7 linked regions of the Callithrix jacchus genome follow. The protein of the gene in region 5 purifies or fractionates together with the protein of the main gene of each other region. This does not show direct contact. Links are inferred from orthologs where the notes say so. Each region holds a gene or a part of one and is shown on either strand. Other genes may lie near its edges. The genes, in order: SNRNP70, SF3B6, SF3A3, RBM17, SNRPB2, SF3B5 and PHF5A.

The links.
Region 1: the proteins of SNRPB2 (region 5) and SNRNP70 purify together in Homo sapiens (affinity purification with mass spectrometry; 5 studies listed by BioGRID and IntAct, counting the BioPlex papers as one, with this or other methods). This does not show direct contact. The link is inferred for Callithrix jacchus from reciprocal best matches to the Homo sapiens genes SNRPB2 and SNRNP70.
Region 2: the proteins of SNRPB2 (region 5) and SF3B6 purify together in Homo sapiens (affinity purification with mass spectrometry; 4 studies listed by BioGRID and IntAct, with this or other methods). This does not show direct contact. The link is inferred for Callithrix jacchus from reciprocal best matches to the Homo sapiens genes SNRPB2 and SF3B6.
Region 3: the proteins of SNRPB2 (region 5) and SF3A3 purify together in Homo sapiens (affinity purification with mass spectrometry; 6 studies listed by BioGRID and IntAct, with this or other methods). This does not show direct contact. The link is inferred for Callithrix jacchus from reciprocal best matches to the Homo sapiens genes SNRPB2 and SF3A3.
Region 4: the proteins of SNRPB2 (region 5) and RBM17 purify together in Homo sapiens (affinity purification with mass spectrometry; 3 studies listed by BioGRID and IntAct, with this or other methods). This does not show direct contact. The link is inferred for Callithrix jacchus from reciprocal best matches to the Homo sapiens genes SNRPB2 and RBM17.
Region 6: the proteins of SNRPB2 (region 5) and SF3B5 purify together in Homo sapiens (affinity purification with mass spectrometry; 3 studies listed by BioGRID and IntAct, with this or other methods). This does not show direct contact. The link is inferred for Callithrix jacchus from reciprocal best matches to the Homo sapiens genes SNRPB2 and SF3B5.
Region 7: the proteins of SNRPB2 (region 5) and PHF5A purify together in Homo sapiens (affinity purification with mass spectrometry; 4 studies listed by BioGRID and IntAct, with this or other methods). This does not show direct contact. The link is inferred for Callithrix jacchus from reciprocal best matches to the Homo sapiens genes SNRPB2 and PHF5A.

Annotation. Positions count from the first base shown.
Region 1 is NC_133523.1:42,899,742-42,903,931, forward strand, and holds the start of SNRNP70 (U1 small nuclear ribonucleoprotein 70 kDa), read left to right. Parts: upstream 1-1,390; 5' UTR 1,391-1,584; intron 1,585-2,366; 5' UTR 2,367-2,376; coding exon 2,377-2,523; intron 2,524-4,190. UniProt on the Homo sapiens protein: Component of the spliceosomal U1 snRNP, which is essential for recognition of the pre-mRNA 5' splice-site and the subsequent assembly of the spliceosome. SNRNP70 binds to the loop I region of U1-snRNA.
Region 2 is NC_133515.1:91,183,868-91,186,999, forward strand, and holds the end of SF3B6 (splicing factor 3B subunit 6), read left to right. Parts: intron 1-2,056; coding exon 2,057-2,195; intron 2,196-2,362; coding exon 2,363-2,452; 3' UTR 2,453-2,632; downstream 2,633-3,132.
Region 3 is NC_133508.1:74,545,737-74,549,236, reverse strand, and holds part of SF3A3 (splicing factor 3A subunit 3), read left to right. Parts: intron 1-1,120; coding exon 1,121-1,285; intron 1,286-1,400; coding exon 1,401-1,511; intron 1,512-2,982; coding exon 2,983-3,073; intron 3,074-3,500. UniProt on the Homo sapiens protein: Component of the 17S U2 SnRNP complex of the spliceosome, a large ribonucleoprotein complex that removes introns from transcribed pre-mRNAs.
Region 4 is NC_133508.1:7,706,231-7,710,266, reverse strand, and holds the start of RBM17 (splicing factor 45), read left to right. Parts: upstream 1-1,236; 5' UTR 1,237-1,372; intron 1,373-4,036. UniProt on the Homo sapiens protein: Splice factor that binds to the single-stranded 3'AG at the exon/intron border and promotes its utilization in the second catalytic step. Involved in the regulation of alternative splicing and the utilization of cryptic splice sites.
Region 5 is NC_133506.1:23,839,124-23,843,323, forward strand, and holds the start of SNRPB2 (U2 small nuclear ribonucleoprotein B''), read left to right. Parts: upstream 1-1,400; 5' UTR 1,401-1,456; exon of another isoform or gene 1,457-1,560; intron 1,561-3,032; 5' UTR 3,033-3,066; coding exon 3,067-3,130; intron 3,131-3,498; coding exon 3,499-3,671; intron 3,672-4,200. UniProt on the Homo sapiens protein: Involved in pre-mRNA splicing as component of the spliceosome. Associated with sn-RNP U2, where it contributes to the binding of stem loop IV of U2 snRNA.
Region 6 is NC_133505.1:150,851,934-150,854,536, reverse strand, and holds SF3B5 (splicing factor 3B subunit 5), read left to right. Parts: upstream 1-1,367; 5' UTR 1,368-1,487; coding exon 1,488-1,748; 3' UTR 1,749-2,103; downstream 2,104-2,603. Other genes in the region: uncharacterized protein LOC118153004, read right to left, coding at 1,269-1,367. UniProt on the Homo sapiens protein: Component of the 17S U2 SnRNP complex of the spliceosome, a large ribonucleoprotein complex that removes introns from transcribed pre-mRNAs.
Region 7 is NC_133502.1:192,270,243-192,274,446, forward strand, and holds the start of PHF5A (PHD finger-like domain-containing protein 5A), read right to left. Parts: upstream 2,801-4,204; 5' UTR 2,756-2,800; coding exon 2,673-2,755; intron 2,336-2,672; coding exon 2,244-2,335; intron 1,762-2,243; coding exon 1,595-1,761; intron 1-1,594. Other genes in the region: ACO2 (aconitate hydratase, mitochondrial), read left to right, coding at 3,251-3,286.

The sequences.
Region 1 (4,190 bases), on a different chromosome or scaffold from region 5:
ACAGGCATGAGCCAATGCACTTGGCATTTTTTTTTTTTTTTTTTTTTTGGAAAGTGAGTCTCAATTTGTTGCCCAGACTGGAGTGAAATGGCACGATCTCAGCTCACTGCAATCTCTGCCTCCTAGGTTAAAGCGATTCTCCTGCCTCAGCCTCCTGAGTTGCTGGCCTTTTTCTTGAAAATTAGTCATTTGAATTTTGCAATAATTTCTATAGTTATTAAACAGGCTATTGAATCCATCCACAAAACTTAAAATGCAATACTTAACAACAGGGCCTTAAATAAAATAAATGCCAGCTCTCTGATCTCACGGCCAACAACCTGAGATTCCTGCCATCTGGTCCCAGTTCAGGACCTTTGCGCCTGCTGTTAACCCTCCCCGTCCCCCGATCTTGCTTCTATCTGGCCTTTGTTCAAATGACACTTCAGAGGAGCCTTCCGTTATCACCCTTTATAAAATGGCCTCACTCTCACTTCCCATCCCTTTACTCTGCTCTGTCCTTCTTTATTATGCTGGTCACCATCTCAAATTATTATTATTATTTTAAGATAGAGTGTCGCTCTTGTCACCCAGGCTGGAGTGCAATGGCGGTGATCTCTGCTCAGGGCAACCTCTGGCTCCTGGGTTCAAGCGATTCTTCTGCCTCAGCCTCCAGAGTAGCTGAGGTTACAGGCTCACACCACCATGCCCGGCCAATTTTTGTATTTTTTTGTAGAGACGGGGTTTCACCATGTTGGCCATGCTGGTCTCGAACAATTGATCTCGGGTGATCCGCCTGCCTCGGCCTCCCAAGTGATGGGATTACAGGAGTGAGCCACCGGGCCCAGCCCTTAAACTATCTTTATTCAGTCAAGCGCTTTTATTGTCTCCCTCAGTACAATGTAAGCCCAAGCAGGAGAAGACTTTGCTTTAGTCACGTGCTGTAGCCCCCAAAGCCCAGACAGTGCCTAGCACATACGAGATGCTCGATGAGCAGTTGATTGAATAGATTAGACATCAACGCAATCAGGCTATTCACTTAGGGACTCTTTGCTAGGCGGCGGAGAGGTACGTTACAGTACTCTACACAACACGCATGCGCGAAAAAAATCAGGGAAGTGTGATCGGGAAAGGGGCGGAGCGTCAGAGAGAGTCTCGTGGACATAGGCGGTTCGGAGCGGAAAGCGGCAGGTGGAGGGGCGGCTTGGGGCTGAGCGCGCGCGCGCAGCGCAGACGCCAGCTCCAGGAGACTGAGGTACTCAAGGTGCCCGAAGGCGGGGTAGTGACCTCGCGCGTGCGCTTTGCCAGCGACGGCTCCTGGGCCTGGTGTGTGGGTAGGTCTTGGCCTCTCGCGGCGCATGCGCAGTGCTGACGGCGGAGGGATTTCAGGTCGAGACCCACCCCCTGCTCCAGTCGGTAGCTGAGGCCGCGCGGGTTGTTGAGCAGCGGCCTTGTGCGCTCGCTGCGCGGGCAAGGGAGTCAGGCAGACGCGGACGCCGTCGGAGTGGAAGCCAAAGCGGAAGTTCTTGTTGCTGAGGGGCCGCCGCAGCCGCCCCGAGCCTCCGGACCGACGCCAGACCCAGGAGGGCGCCGCGCGGCGAGTGAGTGTGGCCGAGTGGTCCGGGGTGCTGGGCCGCTACCCACAAGCCCCTGCGGTGGGCCCCGGTACTTTTACCTGCAGCCAGGCCCCTTTGCCGCGTCCCCTGCTGCAGGTCCCTTCTGCATCCCTTTCCCGAAACCCGAGCCCTCTGCGCACCCACGCCTGCTTCCCGTAGCGTCCTAGGTCCCCTACCCACAGGCCCTTGCGGTGTATGGCCTTTTTTCTTTTTCGTCTTTCCATGTTGTCCTGGACCTTTACCCATAATTCCTTTCGTCTTGGGGGCGCCCAGGTCTGTTACCCACAGGCGCTTGGCTTTGGGGCTTCGCTGCTTATGTTTCTCTTTGCCCGGAGACTTCAGACCTCCAGGCCTCTGCAAACCGCATCTCATAATTTGTCCTCCAAGATACGAGACGAGCAGCCAGCCACAACTGCTCTGTGCCTCCTTTCTCGGGTCCTTGATTCCCCCAGAAATCCCCAGGGAAGCTCTCCGCCACACAGCTCGTGGGTCAGGACTCTGAGACCTCACTGCTCAGGAACCCTTTTCCAGCCTTTGTTTTTTGTTTCCTTTACGGGCCTGATTTTCACCTCCACCCCCACCAAGAGATGCCCTTTTCTCTTCTAGCGTAGGACGGTTCTCTGCCCTTTCAGAGCCTCTTCGAATTCCGAGACTTTACTCCTGTTTTCTCTCTTTTTCTTTTTTTTTTTTTTTTTGAGAGTCAGGGGACAAATAGGGGCTTTCTCTGTGCAGACCCAATCTAACCTAAGGCTGTCCTGCTTCTGCTCTCAGACTTGGCAAGATGACCCAGTTCCTGCCGCCCAACCTTCTGGCCCTTTTTGCCCCCCGTGACCCTATCCCATACCTGCCACCCCTGGAGAAACTGCCACATGAAAAACACCACAATCAACCTTACTGTGGCATTGCGCCGTACATTCGAGAGTTTGAGGTGAGTTCACTGAGCAGGCCAGGAATGGTTTGGGTTGTGGGGTGCAAGGATTGGATCTGGGAGTCCAGCCTCTGACTGGATTTGCTAGCTGTGTGATTTAAGCGACTGGCTTCATCTTTGTGATCCTCAGTTTCCCTGTTTTAAATGGGGTTGGAGCCAGGTGTGGTCGAGTGCACCTGTAGTTCCAGCTACTCAGGAGGCTGAGGTGGGAGGATTGCTTGAGCCCAGGAGTTGGAGGCTGGATTGCTTTGTGATTGCGCCACTATACTCCGGCCTCGGTGACAGAACAGGACCTCATCTCTTAAAAAAAATTTTTTTTTTTTTTTTTTTAAAGTGGACTTGTGGCCAGGTGCGGTAGCTTATGCTTGTAATTTCCAGTACTTTGGGAGGCTGAGGCGGGTGGATCACCTGAGGTCAGGAGTTCAAGACCAACCTGGCCAACATGATGAAATCCTGTCTCTACTAAAAATAGGAAAATTAGCTGGGCATGGTGGTGGGTACCTGTAATCCCAGCTACTCGGGAGACTGAGGCAGGAGAATCACTTGAACCCGAAGGGCAGAGGTTGCAGTGAGCCCAGATGGAACCGTTGCACTCCAACCTGGGCAATAGAAAGTACTGTCTCCGAACAAACAGACAAAGTGAGGCTGGGCTCAGTGGCTCACACCTGTAATCCCAGCACTTTGGAAGGCTGAGGCAGGTGGATCACCTGAGGTCAGAAGTTCAAGACTAGCCTGGTCAATATGGTGAAATCCCATCTCAACTAAAAATACAAAACTTAACCGGGCGTGATGGTGCTTGCTAGTCCCAACTACTTGGGAGGCCGAGGCAGAAGAATCACTTGAACCCGGGAGGCAGTCATTGCAGTGAGTCGAGATTGTCCCACTGTACTCCAGCCTGGGCAACAGAGTGAGGCTCCCATTTCAAAAAAAAAGTGGGGTTGATGGTATACCTTTTGTAGAATTTCTGTGAGAAAGTTCAGTTGAGTAGTGGTTGAGGATTCACACTTGGCTTGCACCATTTAATAGCTCTGTGAGTTTGGGCAAATGTGTATCTTAATGCATTGGTTTCTTTATCTTTAGCAAGGGGATAGTGGTAGCACCCCTCATACTGTTGGTGGAGAATTAAATGGCAATGTGTATGTCAGGGGGCTTGGCATCAAGCAGGCAGCCTATGTCGGCCTTTGCTACTCTGTTTACTACTTTTATTGTTAATAAGATGGTGTTCATAAAGGGCTAGCACCGAGCGTTGGAGGGCTTAAAACCCCAGACCAGGATCTTAGTTCTGCACCTTCAGGGTAAATGACTTCAGGAATGAATGACTTAGGCTCCTGGACCTCTCTGTTTTTATTTGTGAAATTGGGATGACAATGGTCATCTTGTAGGCGTATCTGAGGACACCTGAGGAAAGCTGGCACACAGCCAGAAGTTACAAGAACATTCTCGCATTGGGTAGGAATGGGCAGCTGGAGGTGGAGGGAGTTGCAGAGCAGAACTTCTTAGATAGGACGGGCGTGGTGGCTCACACTTGTAATCTCAGCACTTTGGGAGGCTGAGGCAGGCAGATCACGAAGTCAGGAGTTGGAGACCAGCCTGGCCAATGTAGTGAAACTCTGTTTCTACTAAAAATACCAAAACTACCTGGGCGTGGTGGCACGTGTCCGCAGTCC
Region 2 (3,132 bases), on a different chromosome or scaffold from region 5:
AGCTCAGTGCCCTATACATGGTACAAATACATGCTTTTAAAAGTTCCAATTGGCCAGGCACGGTGGCTCATGCCTGTAATCCCAGCATGTTGGGAAGCCGAGGCAGGCAGATCATGAGGTCAGGAGTTTGAGACCAGCCTGGCCAACATGGTGAAACCCTGTCTCTACTAAAGATAAAACAAATTAGCCAGGCATGGTGGCGGGTGCCTGTAATCCCAGCTACTCAGGAGGCTGAGGCAGGAGAATCACTTGAACCCAAGAGGTGGAGGTTGCAGTGAGCCGAGATAGCGCCTTTACACTCCAGCCTGGGCGACAGAGCAAGACTCCATCTCAAAATATATATATATATATATATATATATATATATATATATATATATATATATATATATGTTCAGATTATAATACAGCTCTCAAGATGTGAGGCTGATAATTAAGACTGGGACACTTGAGATGGAGGGTCTTTAAAGTGGGGTTAGTATCTATCCCTATGCTGGTTCCTAAGAAGATGTAAGAGGAAGAAAGAGAGTTGCTTTGTTTTGAGCTTCCTGGAGAAAGTATGTGTGAGAGAATTGATAGGAAGTAGATCTCCACCTTTCAAAGGCATATTAGCATCTGCCTTATGTGTGGCACTATAGGAGTAAATGAAGTAGGCATAAGATCACCTTTGCTCTTAAAGAACTGAAAATCTTGTTAAGTTTTTAAAAGTCAAAAGTCTGAAAGTTGTTAAGACTTCCCAGATCCTAAAGAACATTCTAAAACCCGAGATCAGGCCCACGTAACCTGACAAAGTGAGCATACTCATTGACACTGGCACCCTCCAATCACCCCCAGCACCCTGCACCTTTTCAATGTTATAGGAAGCAGAAGCTTGAGCAGGGCCCGGACTATAATCTTGTCCTAGATCAAGTCTAGGCATGTGCCTCCACTTCCCATGGCTCCACTGCTTTTATTCAACCCTATGTAGGGACTGTGGCAGATGGAAAGCCAACAATCTTAAACCTCATTCCACGGTTGCACTGGGTGGTCAGAACACAGATGGAGGCAAGGGGGCCATCTTGTCATCCAGAGCATGAACTGAGTGGGAACTCTACCCATTGTCCCCACTGACAATCACATGGCCAGCTGCTGCCTACAATTTAGTGTTCTGTTGCTCCTCACACTTCTCTACCTCTCTCAGAGGAAGCTGATGAAGTGAAGGAAGGAAGTGGCCAGGAATACCTACACTAACAGCAGCCCCATATCTATGAGTAAGGTCTAGTTTCCACTTCCAGTCACCTTCCAGCATTCTGCCCTTGCTCACAGATAACCCTATCTATAAGCACACTTCCACTCCCATCTTTGCAGAAGCCTAGCCCTTCTCCCCAGCCATACAGCTGTATCATGCATTAGAGTTTGTATTAAAAAGGCATTGAGTTGTATTAAAAATGAATGTAGACCAGGTTTGGTGACTCATGCCTGTAATCTCAACACCTTGGGAGGCTGAGGCAGCTCAATCACTTGAGGTCAGGAGTTCGAGACCAGCCCGGGAACAGGGCAAAACCCTATCTCTACTAAAAGTACAAAAATTAGCTGGACATGGTGGCACATGCCTGGAGTCCCAATTACTTGGGAGGCATGAGAATCACTTGAACTTGAGAGGCAGAGGTTGCAGTGAGCTGGGATCATGCCACTGCACTCCAACCTAGGCAAGAGTGAGGTTCCATCTCAAAAAAAAAGCAATGTAGTGCCAGACAGGGTGGTAAGAAGCTGAGTTCTGGGTAGTAGCTGTGTTCCTAGTATTCCTGATATAGCAGTAAGCTTGACCTATAGATGTTTTACTTAAGATAAAAACAAAAAACAAAATTACCGAATTCAAGAAATTACAGGCTTATCTAGTTATCTATGCGTGTTTATTTCCTCTTATGGTTTCAGGTTGGTTTCAAAATATTTAAATTAAAAACATATTTCAGTTTACTGTCTTTAGAAGACAGTTACCAGTTTAAAAGACAGTTCTGTTATTCAACTCAATGCTCAGGTAAACGTATATCTTAATTAAGTTTGATTTAACTCTCCAGGGGGAACACACCTGAAACTAGAGGAACAGCTTATGTGGTCTATGAGGACATCTTTGATGCCAAGAATGCATGTGATCACCTATCAGGATTCAATGTTTGTAACAGATACCTTGTGGTTTTGTACTATAATGCCAACAGGGTAAGTATAGCCAAGTTCTCCTTGTATGGTGATCTCATTTGAAAATTAGTGTAGAACTGTGCTGTGACGATATATGTCTACTGTGACTATTTTTTGGCTAATGCTATTGGTGAAATTTATTTGGCTGTAGATCGGTAATTCAACTTTGGTGCTTACTGCATTTCCAGGCATTTCAGAAGATGGACACAAAGAAGAAGGAGGAACAGTTGAAGCTTCTCAAGGAGAAGTATGGCATCAACACAGATCCACCAAAATAAATGTTTTCTACATTTTCATTTTGGACTGAAACCATGAATGACAACTACCATCTTTTCCCTTTTTTTCCTTTTTAATTAATACTAAATATTGTGATTTCTTATTTTAGGTTCAAAATGACCTTGAAACTTTGATACATATCAGAATACATGATATTAATAAACCTGTTGCTTTTTGTGAAACACGTCTGTCTTTTCTTTTGAACTTTCCCTCCCTGTTTGATACCAGGAAAAAAATAGTTGAAGCTTATCAGGAATTGTAGGTGCTCCTAGGGAGTCCGAGTTTCTTGAAAACAGGACCTCTTTATATTCTTAATGCCTCCGGGGTCCAGTGCAGTGCTTAGCCGTCAAAGGAACTTGCTGTTTATTGAATGTCTATTAATAATGGATCTTTATAACAACTCAGTGAAGATAGGTATTTGCATTTTGCAGGCGAGGAAACCAAAGCTCATGATGTTGGGTGAATGAATAAAATGCTAACCTACAAAGCTGGTGTAATAGCAACCAAGCCTTTACATTTGAATGATGCTTGCTTTATAGTTAACAAAATACCTTTGTCAGTATGGGTACCCTTGTCTTAGAACAGAGGTCTATTCTAGAAATGGTCATTTAGATGGTAGTACACTGTTAGAAACTTAGATTTGCCTCTCTAAATTTTTTTGAAAATTATTATGGGTATATAA
Region 3 (3,500 bases), on a different chromosome or scaffold from region 5:
AGACTCAAGGCAAGTTAGAATGTGGTCATGTTGGTGAGGAAAGGAGAAGTCCTGTGTAAGGAAATATTTTATATTTTTAAAATTTTATTATTAGTATTTTTTAGAGAAAGGTTCTTGCGGGCCAGGTGTGGTGGCTCACACCTGTAATCCAAGCACTTTGGAGGCCAAGGTGGGCGGATCACCTGATGTTGGGAGTTCAAGACCAGCCTGACCACCAACATGGTGAAACCCCGTCTTAAAAAAATAAATAAATAAATAAAAATTAAAAAAGAAAAAAGAGAAAGGTTCTTGCTCTGTCACCCAGGCTGGAATGCAATGGCGGGATCATAGCTCACTGCTTCCTCAAACTCCTGGGCTCAAACAGTCCTCCTGCCTCAGCCTCCTAAGTAGCTGGGACCACAGATACACACCACCATGCTTAGCTAATTTTTAATTATTTCGTAGAGACAGGGTCCCACTGTGTTGCCCAGGCTGATGTCAAACTCTTGGCTTCAAATGATTCTCCCACCTTAGCCTCTCAAATTGATGGGATTGCAGGTGTAAGCCAGGAAATATTTTAGAGTCAGAATAGATGAGACTGTTTTCTGTTGTTCTGTAATAGCCTCAGATGAGTAATTAAGCAAGTTATCTAAAACCTTAGACTTTTTTTTTTGGGATCAGGTAGGGCCTGCTGATAAGGAGTTCTGATATAAAGGCAAGATTTTCCTTTATTCTAGAAGAAAGAACCTTATCCTTGGAAGTAAGGGGTCAGCAACAGGAAATTTCCCCTTCTTATTCTGCACTTTTTTTTTGAGACAAGAGTTTCACTCTTGTTGCCAAGGCTGGAGTGCAGTGGTGTGATCTCAGCTCACAACAACCTGTACCTCCAAGGTTCAAGCAGTTCTGCTTTAGCGTCCTAAGTAGCCAGAATTATAGACATGCACCACCATGCCCGGCTAATTTTTTATTTTTAGTAAAGACAGGTTTTCTCTATGTTGGTCAGGCTGATTTCGAACTCATGACCTTAGGTGATCTGCCCGCCTCGGTCTCCCAAAGTGCTTGGGATTACAGATGTGAGCCACCACGCCTGGCCTCTTCTGCACTACTTTTTTCTGACTTTTCATTTATGGACCTGCCTTAGGAACAGCGACATCTCACGCATGAAAATGTACAACGCAAGCAAGCAAGGACAGGAGAAGAGCGAGAAGAGGAGGAAGAAGAGCAGATTAGTGAGAGTGAGAGTGAAGATGAAGAGAATGAGATCATTTACAACCCCAAAAACCTGCCGCTTGGCTGGGATGGCAAAGTAAGTCTCAGCACTACCACTTTCTCCCCATTCCCCATTTTGGAAGCAGATACAGAGTTGAGTAGGCTAACACTTCATGATGGTTTTGTTTTTTGTTTTTGTTTTTCTTTTTTAGCCCATTCCCTACTGGCTATATAAGCTTCATGGCCTAAATATCAACTACAACTGTGAGATTTGTGGAAACTACACCTACCGAGGGCCCAAAGCCTTCCAGCGACACTTTGCTGTAAGAAATTCAGAGCCATTTTTCCTGGGAATTGAAGTGAAAACATTAGACTTTTAGAGAAGAGAGTAGGAGCAGCCCATGTGGACCACTGGTGTCCAGAGCTGAAGGGAATCAGAAAAGGATAGTTTTAAAATCCAGCCCATGGCATTTGACTTTTGGCCCCAGTATTAGTGTTAATACCTGAGACAGTTTCTGGAGGAATTCTACCACTCTGCTCTTTGAACCTCATTTGGTTTTCTCTTGCCTGCTCTTAGACTTCTCTCTTTGTTTTTTGCTAACATTTTAGATCAATTTTGATTTGGTTATTTCTCTACCCCATTGCTAAAACTCAGGACTGAAAATGGAACTGACTGATCTCTTTTGGATCTTAAATGGGCCTTTGCCTCTTTGAGAAAACAAAGGGGCTGTTATTTATCAAGCTATTCTTGAGACGGTATTGTTCGGGTGGTGCTACTCTAAGTGGGCTCTCCTCTAACTGGACTCTACTTTCAGTTCTTAGACTTTGGAAAGAAATATTACAGAATGGAAAAGATTTATGCTAGACCAAGGATGATGAAATTTTTTTTTTTTTTTTTTTTTGAGACGGAGGTTCGCTCTTGTTACCCAGGCTGGAGTGCAATGGCACGATCTCGGCTCACCGCAACCTCCGCCTTCTGGGTTCAAGCAATTCTCCTGCCTCAGCCTCCCAAGTAGCTGGGACTACAGGCGCGCACCACCATGCCCAGCTAATTTTTGTATTTTTAGTAGAGACAGGGTTTCACCTTGTTGACCAGGATGGTCTCGGTCTCTTGACCTTGTGATCCACCCGCCTTGGCCTCCCAAAGTGCTGGGATTACAGGCTTGAGCCACCTCGCCCAGCCCAGGATGATGAATTTATATGAACTCCTCTCCCCATCTCTGAGTCATGCATATTACTAATTGATCCTGGGTCTTTTTTGCTGAGCCCATGAGTGAGTTCTGAATATTTCTCAGCACCACTTCCAATGATTGGAGTTGACATCCAGGTTAAAACCCACATGCCATTTACCATCCCTCAGCCAAAACTGCCATCATGTTTTACCACATCATTATGCCTAACAAAGATGATGCTGACCTGCCATTAGTAACCTGTATTCATGCAGGTGTTCAGAGTTGCTGGGGCTTTGGTAGGTTCTCCCGCAGTGTGGGACATATAGTTAGAGTTGTGATGTTTTCCTGTGATCCTCACCCAGAAATTTTACATGTAAGACTACTGTCTCTAGAATCTAGGTTTACAACACAGCCCAGTGAGGCAAACAGTGCAATGCTGTTTTGAAATACCAGCCTTTTGTCAGTCACAGCCAGCTGTTTACAAACATGAAACACAAGGAATGCTGCCTTTAGGTGGAGTCCTGGAAAGGGCCATGTTAGCATTTATGAGTAGAATGGAGTTAGTGCTCTGTGTTCAGCTATTCCCATTTCACATGGTCCTTTTGCATCTCTCTTCTCCCAGGAATGGCGTCATGCTCATGGCATGAGGTGTTTGGGCATCCCAAATACTGCCCACTTTGCTAATGTGACACAGATTGAAGATGCTGTCTCCTGTAAGTAAGGTTTATTTACTGTCTCCTAGGCCAGTACAAATGGCCTCTCCTTCAAGTCAGCATCCTAATAACCTGTGTATCTGGGATTAAAGGCAGTAGGTTGTAGATATGTAAAATCTAGGACAGTTGTATAATTATTGCATTTTTTATTTTTTTGAGACAGAGTCTCGCTATCTATCATCCAGGCTAGAGTGCAGTGGCATGATCTCAACTCACTGCAACCTCCGCCTCCCAGGCTCAAGTGATTCTCCTGCCTCAGTCTCTTGAGTAGCTGGTATGACAGGTACCCGTCACCACACCCAGCTAATTTTTTTATTTCTTAGTAGAGACAGGGATTCACCATGTTGACCTGGCTGGTCTCAAACTCCTGACCTCAGGTGACCTGCCTGCCTTGGTTTCCTAAAGTGCTGGAATTACAGGCATTAGC
Region 4 (4,036 bases), on a different chromosome or scaffold from region 5:
TTCAAGCAATTCTCCTGCCTCAGCCTCCCGAGTAGCTGGGATCACAGGCATACGCCACCACGCCCAGCTAATTTTTTGTATTTTTAGTAGAGTTGGGGTTTCACCATGTCGGCCAGGCCGCTCTCGAATTCCTGACCTGGTGATCTGTCTGCCTCGGCCTCCCAAAGTGCTGAGATTAGAGGCGTGAGCCACTTTGCCCGGCCAGCACTTTCTTTTATACAACATTTAGTTGCACGATGGTTTGTGTTCCAATCTGAGCCTTTTTTTAATAGCTAAGCTTAGGTCTATATTTCTTCCTGTGAGACATTTGGTCTTGTTCTGTCATATAGTTTGGTTATGCTTTCTGTTTTGTAACTTTTTCAAATATTTCCCTACGTTGCTTTGTTTGTTTTGCTGTGGTTGTGTGTGTGTGTGTGTATTATTTGAAAGATTTGTAGTTTTGCTCTGCGTCGCCCTCAGAATTATGCCATCCCATGACGTCCTTAATCCTCTATTTCTTTGGTTTTCTTTTGCCTCTCCATTCTATTTCTTTTTTTCCTCTCATTTCTCATTTTCTTAATCACTGGATTTTAATGGATTATAGTATCTTGGTATATTCCTTCGGACTAAGACGTCTGCTTAAATCTCTACTATTTGACTTATCGGCTTGAACTCTATTTGACACCCAATTACAGATGTAAAAATCACATTTTCCCGAAGTCCCACGTTCCCTTCCCCTCCCTACTTCTGTCAGCGACGTTGTTGTTAAAGATCGAGGCTTTATAGCATTGACATTCTTTTCTGTACCCCAATCGCGGCATCTGTTTCCTTAATCTTATGCTCAACCCCGTGCTCCTTGCCATCCTTTTGCCAGCATCTCGGCTATGCAGATTTATTTTCAACTTTTTGCTTTTGAATGAATGAGATCGAGAGACCTGGAGACACTCACTCCCCCACCTCCCCCAATCAGAAAGCGCGGCCTCGGACCACTTCTCCTTCTTACCATCTGGGGGCGCTGCCGCGCGTTCCTCAAACTTTGTGGAATTTCGAAAACGTGCACCCAGGCGACACCTCTTGGTGGTAGAAGAGGACGCCTGCTGAGGGGAGCGTGCAGTGCGGTCCTCCCGCGGGCAGGGGGCAGTGCGGCAAGGAGCCCTCGGCGCAGGCGCAGAGGCCAAAGCAGGCCTAGGCGCAGGCGCAGGCGCAGGCGCAGGCGCGGCGCGCTCTCCCGGCAGCCCGCGCTCTCTGACCCCGCGCAGCCGAGCGCCCTGAGGACTCAGCGAAGGGTGGGCGCCGCCAAGGGCTCCTGCCGCCGGCGGGTTTCCGCGGAGTGCCGCCCGGCTCCGCGCTGCCGCCGCCGCGGCCCATGGGCAGAGTCGGCTGGGCGGGCCGGGTAAGTCGCGCCCTGGCGGCCCCAGGGGGGCGGCCTGGCGGGACCCGAAGCGGGCGCGCCTTCCCGGGAAGCGCTGGACGCGAGGCCGCGGCTTTAGGCCGCGTCGCGAGGGGTGGGGGCCGGGCCATCTCAACCCGAGCCTCCGCGGGTCTCAGTCCCCGCAGCGGGCCCTGGCCTCTCCGCTCGGCGGTGGCCCGGTACACTCCGCCCGCCGCCGCCTCGGGTGACCCGGGCTCTGGCCTGCTCCCTCTTCCCCTCCTCCTCCTGTCTGCCTCGGGCTCTTCGGCCCTGAAGAGCGTTTCGCCTCCACTTCGTGCACCACGTCCTGACGAAGTTGCCCGGTCCCTAGACCCGGAGCGTGTCCCCCAACCTGGCCCCGCACAGTTGCCTCTCTCCCGGGCTCAGAGAAAGGAGCCGATTCTTCCCCGGCTCTCAGAACTGGGAGTGCAGACGTTGGCGTTTCCCAGACTCCGGAGCTCCCCGAGACGGGAAGGCAGCCCGGACCCCGGCGTCGCCTCGGATCGTGCCGTTTGAGCGGTGTTTCAGCGCGCACTTCCGACCCCAGGCAGTCCTTGAGCTTCACCTATTGCCCAGAGGATGGGAAATGATGAGAATGCAGGTGGAGCGAGGTTCTGCCCTTGCTTGCAGGAGTTTGGTTTCTGGGAAAGCAGGCGTGGAAACCCAGGCTCGGTTTGGTGAAGGACGCGAGATCTTGAGAGAGGAGGTGATGCTTATGTTGAGTCTTGAAGGTACTTTGTTAGATGTGCGAGGTGGGAAAAAAGGCTCCTGGCGGAGGAAGTCACGGCGAAAGTAGCAGAAGTGAAGCGCCGTAGTGCGTTCTGGAAGCTGCAGGTGAGGCAGAGAGGAAGGTTTCAGGAGGGGGTGCTGTGTTTCGAGGAGTCGTCCGGTCAGAACATGGAGGTTTCTTGAGGAGCAGCAAAGGAGCGCCATTGAGGATCCTTATTGCTAGAGCCTGGCATATGGATGGAAAATAGGATATTCTAGATCAGGGCAGGATACGCATATACTCAAATAGACGGGTACATGAGCACTGGCTCCCTGCAACAGATGGAGTTTTTAAAGGATGCAACTCAGTTTCCAGATTTCTAGTTGGTAAAGGCTGCAGACATTTTGATCGTAATGACAGCTTTTAGGGATGATGGGGTAACAATTTATGAGCTAAACGAGAGGGCTTTATTTTTAGAGTTAGTTAGGCAAGGTGCTGCGTGCTGTCCAGTTTGTAACAGCAGGTTGTGCGATCGTGGACCTCTGCGGAACCAAAGACAGCCTTTCTGGAGGCTCTTGAGAGGATTGTTGTACACTCCCAAATGCAGCTTTATTTAAAGTGGATTTCTTTTTACCTGGTTTGTTTTAAATTACCTTCATTCTCCTCTGCATATGAGTTTTTCAGACCTCCCCGCAGCAGGGAGCAGATGATCCCAGGTTAGTCATCTCTCAAGCCTTCCATCATAGTCAATAGTGAAGAATGTTCTGTTACGCTCCTAAATTATAGGTGACTCTATTGGACTGTGTTTGCAATTCTACCCGATGGCATTTTGAGAGTAGCAGACTGTGAGAATGAATGGAAAGATTAAACTGTCAAGGGCAGATGAAGGTATGGGGAAAATTTTTTTCAGTTCTTTAGAAAGTTATGGTAGATCTTATACATGAGGTAGATGCCTTTTTTGCCGTATTTTTTGTGGACATCAAAGTGCACCACCCCTCCTGTTCCTTTCTGTGTGTATTTGCCATATTCTTTTTTGTTTCTCCTGAGACGGAGTCTTACTGTATGGTCCAGGCTGGAGTGCAGCGGCGCAACTGGCTCACTGCAACCTCCGCTTCCGGATTCAATGATTCTCTGCCTCGGCCTTGAGTAGCTGGGATTACAGGCGCTCGGCATCACGCTCAGCTTAATTTTTGTGTTTTTAGTTGAGATGGGGTTTCACCATATTGGCTAGACTGGTCTCGAATCCTGACCTCAGGTGATCCTTCCGCCTTGGGCTCCCAAAGTGCTGGGATTACAGGTGCGAGCCACCTCGCCCAGTCTTACCATATTCCTTAGGTTTCAAAGAGGTATGCTTTGTTTTATGATGCATGAATATCTATTTAGTAATAGAAATATTTCTTCCTAACACGCCTGCTTCTTTAGGTGCTCAGAACTCAGACCTTGACCTACTATTGGTTGTGTGGTGGTGGTAGTTTTTCTCTCCTTAATTATGGCTTACAACTTAAATTTTATCCTACTTATCTTAAGTTATGTCCTCAAAAAGCAGATCTGCAGTGGCCAGGTGCTGTGGTTCACGCCTGTAATCCCAGCACTTTGGGAGGCCAAGGTGGATGGATTACCTGAGGTCGGAAGTTTGAGACCAGCCTGACCAACATGGAGAAACCCCAACTCTACTAAAAATACAAAATTAGCCAAGTGTGGTGGTACATGCATCTAATCCCAGCTACTTGAGATGCTGAGGCAGGAGAAATGGTGGTTGCAGTGAGCCAAGATTGCAACATCATACTCTACCCTGGGCAACAAGAGCAAAACTCTGTCTGAAAAAAAAAAGCAGATTGTGATTTAAATAGGTGCATTAACATTTTCCATCCATTCACTAACATGTTTAGAAAATATTAATAGAGCCACTTGCAATGTTCAAGCATGGTGCTAAGCTA
Region 5 (4,200 bases):
CCCAAGCTGATTTTGAACTTCTGGCCTCAACCAGTCCTCCTGTCTCAGCCTCCCAAAGTGCTGGGATTACAAGTGTGAGCAATTGCACTCAGCTATTTCTTCTAGTTTTAGATCTCTATAATAAAATGATGCTTTTCTGTGATCCCTTAACATTGTCTACACTTATGTGCATGTTCATATTTGTTTTACTGTTGCCTAGTTTTCCATTTCATTCATTCTTTTATCCAATACATGTTAATTATCACTTTTCTAATTAATAAGGGTACTTGAGTAAGCAGAGCAGACAAACCCCCACCCTTAAGAAATCTGTATTATTTTTAAGTTGTTGCAAATTTGGGTTTTTATTTAAAAAAATAAAAATTCCAAGCTGATAAAACCAATCTGACAGCTACTTGCCTCACCAATATATGCATGTTATAGCCAGAATTCAGAAATAACATTTATGATCATTTATTTTGTCTGGCAATGTGCCAATCAATTTACATTTATTTTAGCTCATTTAATGCTCACAACAACTAGAAGGAGGCACTATTAGGATACCTATTTTACAGATAAAGAAAGTGAAGGTCAGAGAGAATATAGTTAAGAGAAGGATACAAGATGAGGTTCCCCTAGACCCTTAACAACCATTTCATATTCCAGGTGATGCTTTGCAGACATCTGATGAATGGATGAATGAACGAATGCATGCACTTCTTGGAATTCTCATTCAGCTTGGCATAAACACTAACTCCTTAGATTACCCTAGAAAAATCTAGACATTTTGTGGGAAGAGAAGAGTGGGAAGGGTGGTAGGGAATTATTTTTTCGAGTGAGTTGAGGCAGATGATCTTAAAGATGACTGGGTTCTACCCGAGCATGGTTGCCATATCTGAAAGATGAGAATAGGGCAGACTCGGAGTTCTGTCCGCCCTTGGTAGCCTCTGAGATTCAAGCTCATCAGCAGAGTGTTGGAGGACAGTTCCTGCAGAGTCCAGGAATCAGAGGAGACTTGGAGGCAGGAGGAACTGGCTATCCTAAAGGTGATGTTAAACCCGGGCAGCCGGAGCCCAAAGAAGGGCGAAACCAGGACTAATTGCCCCACAGCATGAGGGGCAGCGCCTGTTAAATTACATAGGATTTGGAAAGGTGTTAGGCACTCTTGTGCGGGGTGAAGCTTCGCAGGGTCGTGGTACGGGAAATTATTCATTCCCTTCCCTATTTCCTCGCAGCACGGTCCCCACAACCCTGCTATCTTTCCCCATTCCCACTTCCGAACTCATCTCCTGCCCTCCAGGCATTACGCAAGCGCAGAGAGATTCCCAGCCTTGGCCGCCAGAGAGCCGGAAGCATCGATCGACTCCGTGCTCGGCTTCTAGACTTGTCGACGCTCGATTGAGGAGCCTGGCAACGTTACTTCCGGTGCCTGGCTCCGTTTCCTGCTGTTAGATCTAACGAGGGACGGCGTACGCCTTAGGTGGGTTCCTGCGCCTTCTACCTCCTTGCTCTTTCTGTTCTCCTGACTCCTCTGCCTTTCTTTTCCCCTGTTGCAGCTGGGAGCGGACGAAGCGTAAAGCTGAGGTGGGGACGCGTTTGCCCCGGGGTTCTGTCTTAGGGGCGAGAAGGGATGGAGACTGACGCGCGTGACTGGCTGGGGCCGGGCATCGCGTCTTTGCTCCCTTGGACTTCTTGCCGGGGCTTTGGGCGAAGGTGCTTGTGTCTAGAGAGGTGGGAGGCTTGCGCGTACGAAGTAAAGGATAATTCATGTCCATCTGCTTTTGCGAGGCGTGGGCCGTTCACTGAGCTTTCAGGTGTCTTCCAGCGGCTCCCTTTTGGTAGTGGCGGGTAATTCAGAGAGGCCCTGTAGCAATCAAGGTTATGTTCAAACTTCGCGGGAGACCCTGCAGGAACCTCCCCTTTCTTCCCCTACCTTCGGTTTGACCTCTGCCTCAATCACTTCCCTTTCGTCGTCTCCTTTGCGACTCCTGCCCCTTCTCCAGATTTCGATTTAGGGGGTCGCAAGGTTTTGAGGAGCGTTTCCGTAGCCCCGCTTGTAGGCTCTTACCTTGTCAATCGTCCAGTGCTGTTCATATACAGTGGATGCTCTGTAAATATTTGTGAGATAAAGAAACTTTGGGGTACACAAGGAAATCAAGCAAGTTCACACTTTGCAAGTAAAAACAATGTGGAAAATGCAATTGTGTGGTAGATGAGAAAAATGTAGAGAAAGCAAGGGCTGAATTTCCAGGCCTAATGCTTATTAGCTGTGTGACCTTAGGCAAGTCCCTTAACTGGTAATAGCTGTTAATAATTACTCCTAAGTGCTTACCGCTGATGCAGAACGTGCTAGAACTCATTTAGTCTTCTGAGTTCTGTTGGGTAGGTTCTGTTACCGTTCTCGTTTCACTGATGACATGAGGGATTAAGGAACTTTCCTCAGGCAAACAGATAGTAAGGAGCATAAATAGGATTTCACTTCACATCTGGCTGGCACTAGAATCTGAGTTTAACAGTCATGCCATACTGCTCTCATTGAGCTCCCTTCTTTTAGGTCGGTTAGAGGTAACCTTGGAATCCAGATAGCTTGGAGATACAAATTAAGTGATAGGTATGGAAGGACTTTATAAGTGCACCCATGAAATTGGCATGAAGTTGGCAAGCTTCATTAATGTCTAATCTTATGATTTTTACTGGGTGTACATTTGCTACTTTGTCATTTTTCTTCAAATCTGTATTTTTAAATTGTTTCATCGAGCAGGCGGAAAGTCAGTATCACTTGTCATAAGCGAAAAGTAAGTGTAAAAATAAATGTGTTGAATTAAATATTGTTACAAAAATCTGGCTAGGTATTGGTGCCCCAAGTTTTGAGCATGAGACACTGTTCTTTTGTATGAAAGGAAGGGCTAGTGGGTGCTGGAGATACAATAAAGATTACAGCCAAACTGACATTTTCTGACAATTGGGAATTGAAAGAGAAGTGAAAAGTTAATAATTCTTGTGTTGTGTCCTTATGCTACAGTCCAGTATAATTTAATCTTTCTTTTTTGTAACAGATTACTTACTGTTTTTGAAGAATTTAACGCAAACATGGATATCAGACCAAATCATACAATTTATATCAACAATATGAATGACAAAATTAAAAAGGAAGGTAAGTGCTTTTTAAAATACTTGTTCACAACTAAAATGTGTTTATTTACTACTGTCTTAAAAATCGTACTGCCTGAAAACCTCTCACCTCATCATCTTAGTGCCTGAAATAATGGTTTATCCCATTTCCTGTAAGGATGGGAAGGCTTTTAAAAAACAAAAATAGATAGGAACTGACACTGTGTTCAGTCTGTTGCTACTCATAGCTATAATGGTTTCATACAGCCAATGGGAATAGTATATGTTTTTTATAAATATTAATATAACTGTATACATAAGTGAATGGTGTTAGCAACTCAATAGAGTATACTTTGAAGACTTGTCATTATTTGATTCACCAGTGACTTGTTTCTTTTCTACTTTGGACAGAATTGAAGAGATCCCTCTATGCCCTGTTTTCTCAGTTTGGTCATGTCGTGGACATTGTGGCTTTAAAGACCATGAAGATGAGGGGGCAGGCCTTTGTCATCTTTAAGGAACTGGGCTCATCCACGAATGCTTTGAGACAGTTACAAGGATTTCCATTTTATGGTAAACCAATGGTAAGCTAATCCTATTATTTTCCCTTTAATCAAGAAACTAATGATACTAATGGTAGAGTCGATTTGCAAATATGCTTGAAATTGTGGCTGTTGCTTTCTGCTTTTAATTATGTATGTCTTGGTTTTACGTATTTTTATAGAAAAACAGTAGCTGTAGAGTTTAATTTACAACAGTTCAGATGGGCAAAAACAAAATACATTGAGTTGTAGAATGTTTTTATAAATGGCAGTCTAGGCAATATTCTTATCTCAAAAAGTTACAAATTAATAATAACCTGGAAGACTTGAAACCTGTTTATAAACTTGTAAAACATTATAAAAGCCATGAGTCAAAGAGGAAATTCAGTCTGAAGTTTTAGAAAATGCTAATAGTGAAATACTATATGTCAGAAGCTATACAGTCTAGAAGAAACAATGATTGAAAGAAAAATTATAGGGTTAAACTCATAAGATTAAGGAATAACAATGGAAATGAACTTGTTATTCATGGAGAGTTTTAAACTCAGGAATGACATAATGAGATTCACAT
Region 6 (2,603 bases), on a different chromosome or scaffold from region 5:
CAGAATAAAACTATTTTCAAGTTCTCTCTCTCTCAGTAGTGTTCCTTCTCTACGGTTGTAATACAATTATTTATCAAATTCTTGTTTGGGATATATATATATATAATTTTTAAAGAGGATCTCGTTTTTTTCAGGTAGCCTCTATCCATATGAGGAAGTTATTAAACTAAAAATTAGGATATAAAGCAATAATAAGGAAGAGATGGATAATCTGCAAAGAGGAAGAAGAATTTACATCTGTCTGGAGCAGCCAGAGAAAATTCTAGGGAGATGCATTTGAGCTGCCTTTAAGGCAGATGCGTTCACCAAGGGAACAGACATTCCAAGTAGAGGGAACAGCTTGCACAAGGAACTGGGGAATGGGCACAACAGGTAACATGGAGAAGTACAGTTGTCCCTCAGTATCTGTGAGTGATTGGTTCCAGGACTCCATGGATACCAAAACTAGAAGATACTCAAGTCCCTGATATAAAATGGCTTGTATTTGCATATACACACATCCTCCCGTATAGTTTTTCTCTAGATTATTTAACAATACCCAATACAATGTAAATACTATGTAAATGGTTGTTATATTGTTTAGGGTATAATAACCTTTAAAAGTCTACACTTCGGTACACACTAATTTTTTTCCCAAATATTTTCAGTCGGGTTGGTTGAATTCACAAAACCCACTGAATGGAAGGGCCAAGTAGGGTGCCGTGAGGCATTGGAGGGAGGATATCAAAATAACTGGCTAGAGAGGAAGGAGGAACTTGAGGTGGAGCCGGAATGTGAGGAAATGGGTACTGTACTTGCTCACCAAACACCCTGGTTAGAGCTGAAATAACTCTTTGATGCTACAAACTCCTAAGCGACATAGTTGGGACCAGAACTCGCGCCTACTGACTTCTGGGTAATCCATCCCGGGTAGTGAAGGGACTGCCGTGCCGCCACGATAGGTCCGAAATACATAAGAGTTTATTTTCGGGGTTGCTCGTAGTCCACTCCTATTTGGGTTTCCCATTTCCCATCAGCCCCAAGCCAACCACGGATGCTTCCCGCCTCGCAGACAACACCCTCCACTAGGCACCCATACCGCTTTTAAAAGGCGACCAGAAGTTCCGGAGGCTGGCGTGCACGAACTCCAAAGACCAAGACCACAAGTCCCAGCATGCAACGCTCCCGGTTGAAAAGGGCCTCTCATAGCCACTAAGCGGACCATCATGCAACGCTCTATGAAGGGGCACGGCTCACTACAGGGGCGGCACACTTGTAGCGTCGCATACCTCGGCAACTCCAATTCCGTGACTGATGTGCTTCCGCTTCCGCTTCCGCCTCTGAGCCCTATGAGCGAGAGTTACACTACTTAGTCTCAGTGACGCCATTCTTCTGCGACCGCGTGGGCCCGGAGGTGCTGTGCGGTGTCCTCACTCCCGCTTGAAACGGTAGAGCGGTGACTTGTTTCCTGCGGCCTCTGACCTCGGAGCGAAGGGGAAAGCGGCGAGATGACGGACCGCTACACCATCCACAGCCAGCTGGAGCACTTGCAGTCCAAGTACATCGGCACGGGCCACGCCGACACCACCAAGTGGGAGTGGCTGGTGAACCAACACCGCGACTCGTACTGCTCCTACATGGGCCACTTCGACCTTCTCAACTACTTCGCCATTGCGGAGAATGAGAGCAAAGCGCGAGTCCGCTTCAACTTGATGGAGAAGATGCTGCAGCCTTGTGGACCGCCAGCCGACAAGCCCGAGGAGAACTGAGACTGCCTTACCAACGCCGTGCGCGGCGCCTCTCCCAGCGTTCCTCCCGTTTGCCAAATCCCTCGAGTATTCCTGCCTTCAAGGGACCGGCTCTCTCCATGGCTCCTGCGTCCCGCGCTTTCTGCGTATAGAAGTGCTTGCCGGGGAAGTCCCTCCTGACCCGCCTTCATGTGGACACTTTGGGACAGCATTGAGAGACCAGCAGGACCCCTGAGAACTGTGCTGGCGGAGAGGTCCTGCAGCCGGCAAGTCTCTGAGAAGAGGGCGTGGCGCTGGAGTGAGATGGGATTTGGCGTCTCGTTTTTGCCTAATTGATTGTCATTGGCTTTTTCCATAAAGTTTAGAAATCGTTCAGTCTCTTGGTGTGAACTTCCTGTGTTAGGGTGGAGGGCTCCGGAAAGAGCTCCAGGCACCGAGGTTCGCGAGAGTCCGAGTGGGAAATGGGTTTGGGTGAGGGTGCGAATGCCAGTGTCTGTGGCCAGGCACTTAGATATGCCTGTATACCTTTATAGTGTTCCCCGACTGCCACTTCCTCCAAGAGCTTTATTTTCAGTCTCACAATGACTTCAGTTTTGAAGTTTGCGGTTAATGTATCCCATCTTTTTCTTCTGTTTTAAAAATCTTTGCTGTCATTGTTTTCCCTAGCCTCTTTAAATTACATCCTTTCTTTTTCCTGGGAATTTGAAACCATGTCTCCAGAAATGACAAGATGGCAAGCGAGTTCATCCATTCTACATTCAACAAATATTTGTTGAGCTCTATGTGACAGGCATTTTCCCATGTTCTTGGGTATACATTAATGCTGGTGGTGGAGAAAGGTCAAACACTGTAGGCATAGCAAGCAAATGTTAGAAG
Region 7 (4,204 bases), on a different chromosome or scaffold from region 5:
TGTCATGATATATACCCAAATAGTGCTTAATGATAGATTTGAGACATTAATGAGTGGCTGTGACACAACATGCACTGTATAGGACTAATAAACACACAAGGTCTCTGTCACCCAGGCTGGAGTGCAGTGGCATGAACATGGCTCACTGCAGCCTTGACCTCCTGGGCTCAAGTGATTCACCTGCCTCAGCTTCCCAGGCAGCTGGGACCACAGGTGCACACCACCACACCCTACTAATGAAAAATATTTTTTTGGCCAGTCATGATGGCTACATGCCTGTAATCCCAGCTCTTGGGGAGGCTCAGGCAGGAGGATTGCTTGAGCCCAGGAGCTTGAGACCAATCCAGACAATAAAACGAGACCCCATCTCTACAAAAAAATTAGCCAGGCTGAACATGGCGGCTCATGCCTCTAATCCCAGCACTTTGGGAGGCCATGGCAGGTGGATCACCTGTGGTTAGGAGTTTGAGACCAGCCTGACCAACATGGAGAAACCCTGTCTCTACTAAAAATACAAAAAAAAAAAAAAAAGCTGGGTGTGGTGACACATGCCTGTAATCTTAGCGACTTGGGAGGCTGAGGCAGGAGAATCACTTGAACCGGGAGGTGGAGGTTGTGGTGAGCCAAGATTGCGCCAATGTACTCCAGCCTAGGCAACAAGGGCAAAACTCCATCTCAAAAAAAAGGAAAAAAAAAAAAAAGAAAAAAAATTAGCTAGGTGTGGTGGTGCATGCCTGCAGTCCCAGCTACTTGGGAGGCTGAGGTGGGGGGATTGCTTGAGCCCAGGAAGTCAAGGCTGCAGTGAGCCTTGCACATGATCATGCCACTGCACCCAGCCTGGCCACGGAGCAAGAGACCCTGTCTCAAATAAAAATTATTATTTTTTGTCGAGATGGGATCTTGCTGTATGGCCCAGCCTGGTCTTGAACTCCTGGACTAAAGTCATTCTCCTGCTGTGGACTCCCAAAGTGCTGAGATTACAGGTGTGAGCCACCATCCCCAACTGGATGTCTTTTTTTTCTGAGACAGAGTCTCACTCTGTTGCCCAGACTGGAGTGCAATGGCACGATTTTCGCTCACTGCAACCTCTGCCTCCTGGGTTCAAGTGATTCTCCTACCTCAGCTTCCTGAGTAGCTGGGATTACAGGCGCACACCACTAAGCCTGGCTAATTTTTGTATTTTTAGTAGAGTCAAGGTTTCACCATGTTGGTCAGGCTGGTCTGGAACTCCTGACCTCATGATCCACCTGTCTCAGCCTCCCAAAGTGTTGGGATTACAGGCGTGAGCCATCGCGCCTGGAGCAGATGTCATTTCTGAATAAGAATAATCACAGAGAGACATAAAAAGAATAGAGAGAGGGCTCTCCAAATTGCTGGTCTTGACACAGATTTGCTTACCTTGCATTTTCCCCTTGATGCAAAATAACTGCCTTTTATTGGACTACACCCAGTTTGACTCACAGAACTTGAAGAAATTATAACCTAGATGACTAGATGAACACAGTAATCTCCATAGACCATAGGAGATTGCAGTGGATGGCAAAGTGTTATTAAATAAAAGGAGGAAAGGTCAGATGGAAAGCTGTACACTTACATCCTTCTCCTGGATGGTACACTCCTTACAATAATAGGCATCAGAGACCCCAGGGCCTCCGCAGATCACACAGCGCCCCTGGTAAGATCCATAATTACACTCATCACATATGCGAACCAGAGTACAGGGACGCACATAGGAGTCACAAATCACACACTTGCCATCACCTGCAAGGAAAAGAATGAAGTCATGCTCACTAGCAAGTTCTTCAGTCCTCTGCTATTTCCTGCCATGGGGAAAGATACTAGTCTCCTTTTGACAGTGACTTTAGGGCCCTCCTCTTGGGAATCACAAACTTGGTTTATCCAGCATCCATCTCAAACCCCTCAACACATACAAAAGTTTATCAATTAACATATGGAAAGAACTTAGAAAAGCACTTGGGAGATGATAAGCCTATATAATTGCTGGCAAAATGTTGTATGTTGGGGAGGGGTCACGCTACTCTGGCGATTCTTCCTGTTGAAAGCTAGAGATAGATACAGCATTATATGTGCAAGTGGCAGTGGGGAGATGGAGGGGCCTTTGGTTGAAGTCCAGCATCTAGATCCAGGCACATCTACTCAAAGACCCCTTTGTGGCACTTTGGCTGGCTCCACAGAAACTGGGAGTAGGAAGGGTGGGTTGTTGGACGGTGTGTTCCACTCACATTTTTCACACAGTCTTCCGATGGCTGCAAAATCAAAGATAGTAAAAAGTACAATTAAAGATTTTGACAAAGAGGGGAAGTACATCCTCGACCTAGGGACAGGAACATGAACAAGGACTGTAGTGAGCCCTGTGGATAGCCATTTTATCATTACAAATTTCCACATAAAGCAAACTCATAGCCCGAGTATCCTTCTGAATGTCTTCCAAAGTCCTTAGCAAACTAAGTTTCTCTAGACTTGGCCCAGACCCCAACCCCGACGCCTGCCTGGGGCTCCCAGCACGCGCACCCCCGCCCTCAGAGGCCACAAACCTGCGCGCTCCTACAACACTCTATGCCTGAGAGGCGGGAAACGTGGCGCCTGAGAGGCTAGACCCTAAGGAAGAGATGGAAACCCCCCCAGCCCCCAGATCCTAACACTACCCCTACCCAGACAGCCGGGGGCAAGGCGCAGTCTCACCAACACCAGCCTGTTTGCGGCAAAAGATCAAATCAGGATGATGTTTAGCCATAGTTCCCAACGAAGCCGGCCGCCGGAAGCTTCGGGAACTTCCGTTGGATCCTTAACCCCTATAGTTCCTGCCTCTACGTCGTTGTGATTGGTCCTCTAGGCTTCCGTCAGTTTACAATCCTTGCACCAGGGCCCGCTTGCTCTCGCGAGAGTTTTGTCGCTGGGCGGTCAGGTCCTGGCAGGTGCATAAAAGTCTTAAAAACTCCCAGATTTGGATGGCAGAGATAATGAAAATTTCTTATTGGATAAACATCTTTGTGCTTGGTATTTACTTCTGCAAGTGACTTTCGGCAGTTTTATTTCCTCTTTTTCCTCTTGCGTGTCGGTTCATTACACGTGAACTCCGCTCACTGCGTTCTCAGGGTTCTGCCGCCTCTAGGGAGACCCCGCCTTCACCGTGACGCTCCATTATTTTGGGCACGCCCCTGCCCAAAGGCTTTAAAAGCGCCGTGTGGGACGTCACTTTCACGCGACCTCATCTTTGTCAGTGCACAAAATGGCGCCCTACAGCCTACTGGTGACCCGGCTGCAGGTGAGCAAGCTCAGGGACCTCTAGGTTCATGGGGGCGGGGTGCCTCCTACTCTGCCGGCGGCTGTGGGTGAGGCAGGGCGAGGCGGGCCCGACCTGGGGCCAATTTTTCTTGTACCTGTCCTGGTTGTGGGCCCAGCACCCGTGCCCGCTCCTCTGGTGCCCTAGGTCAAGGCGTCCCCCACACTGTCAGCTTTCCTGGCCCCGTCCCCCGCCCCGCGAGAAGCGTGGGCCCACGCAGCGGCGGCCAGGTGAGGAGCGGAGGCACCTCCTTCTTCTTGAGGAGAGCATTCCCTGCTTCTGTGGAGTGTGTTTCGGTTCCTCAAGGTGAGGACAAGGTGACTAGGGGGCGCGGTCGTTGTTGAGCATTCTAGGCCCAGTGCCTGAGGCCTCACTTCCCATTTCATAGCAACAGAGACTCGACAGCATCTGCAGTTGCCGGGCCTGGAGAAGAAACTAGGACCCTGTGCCACCTTTTGAGGACTCTGCGGAACATGGAATGCCTGGGGGTGTCTTCTGGGCCCCTGCGTAGTATATAGTAATGATAGTTTCTCACCTTTGCACAAGATTTGAAAACTTTTAATTCTTCGTTAAATCATTTGATTCATGTAATCATAGGAATGAGATGGTTTTTCTTATCTGATAGGTCATAAAACTGGTAGAGAGTAGGTGAAAGTTCTGGTTCTGAGTGTCACCGAAGTGCTGTGACAGAAGCATGAGCCCTACCACCACTCAGTTTTTGTTTATGTCAGTTTGCCCTCACAGAACTTTCTGAACCATGGTACTGTCATTTCTATTTGTCAGAATGCAGAATGAATGTTTTGAGCTCATAACAAGTTGCTTGTCAAATATGGAAGGATAGGGAGACTCCAGTTTGACCTTGACTTCCCTGTTAGAAGCTATGTAGAAAGCTGACTGTGA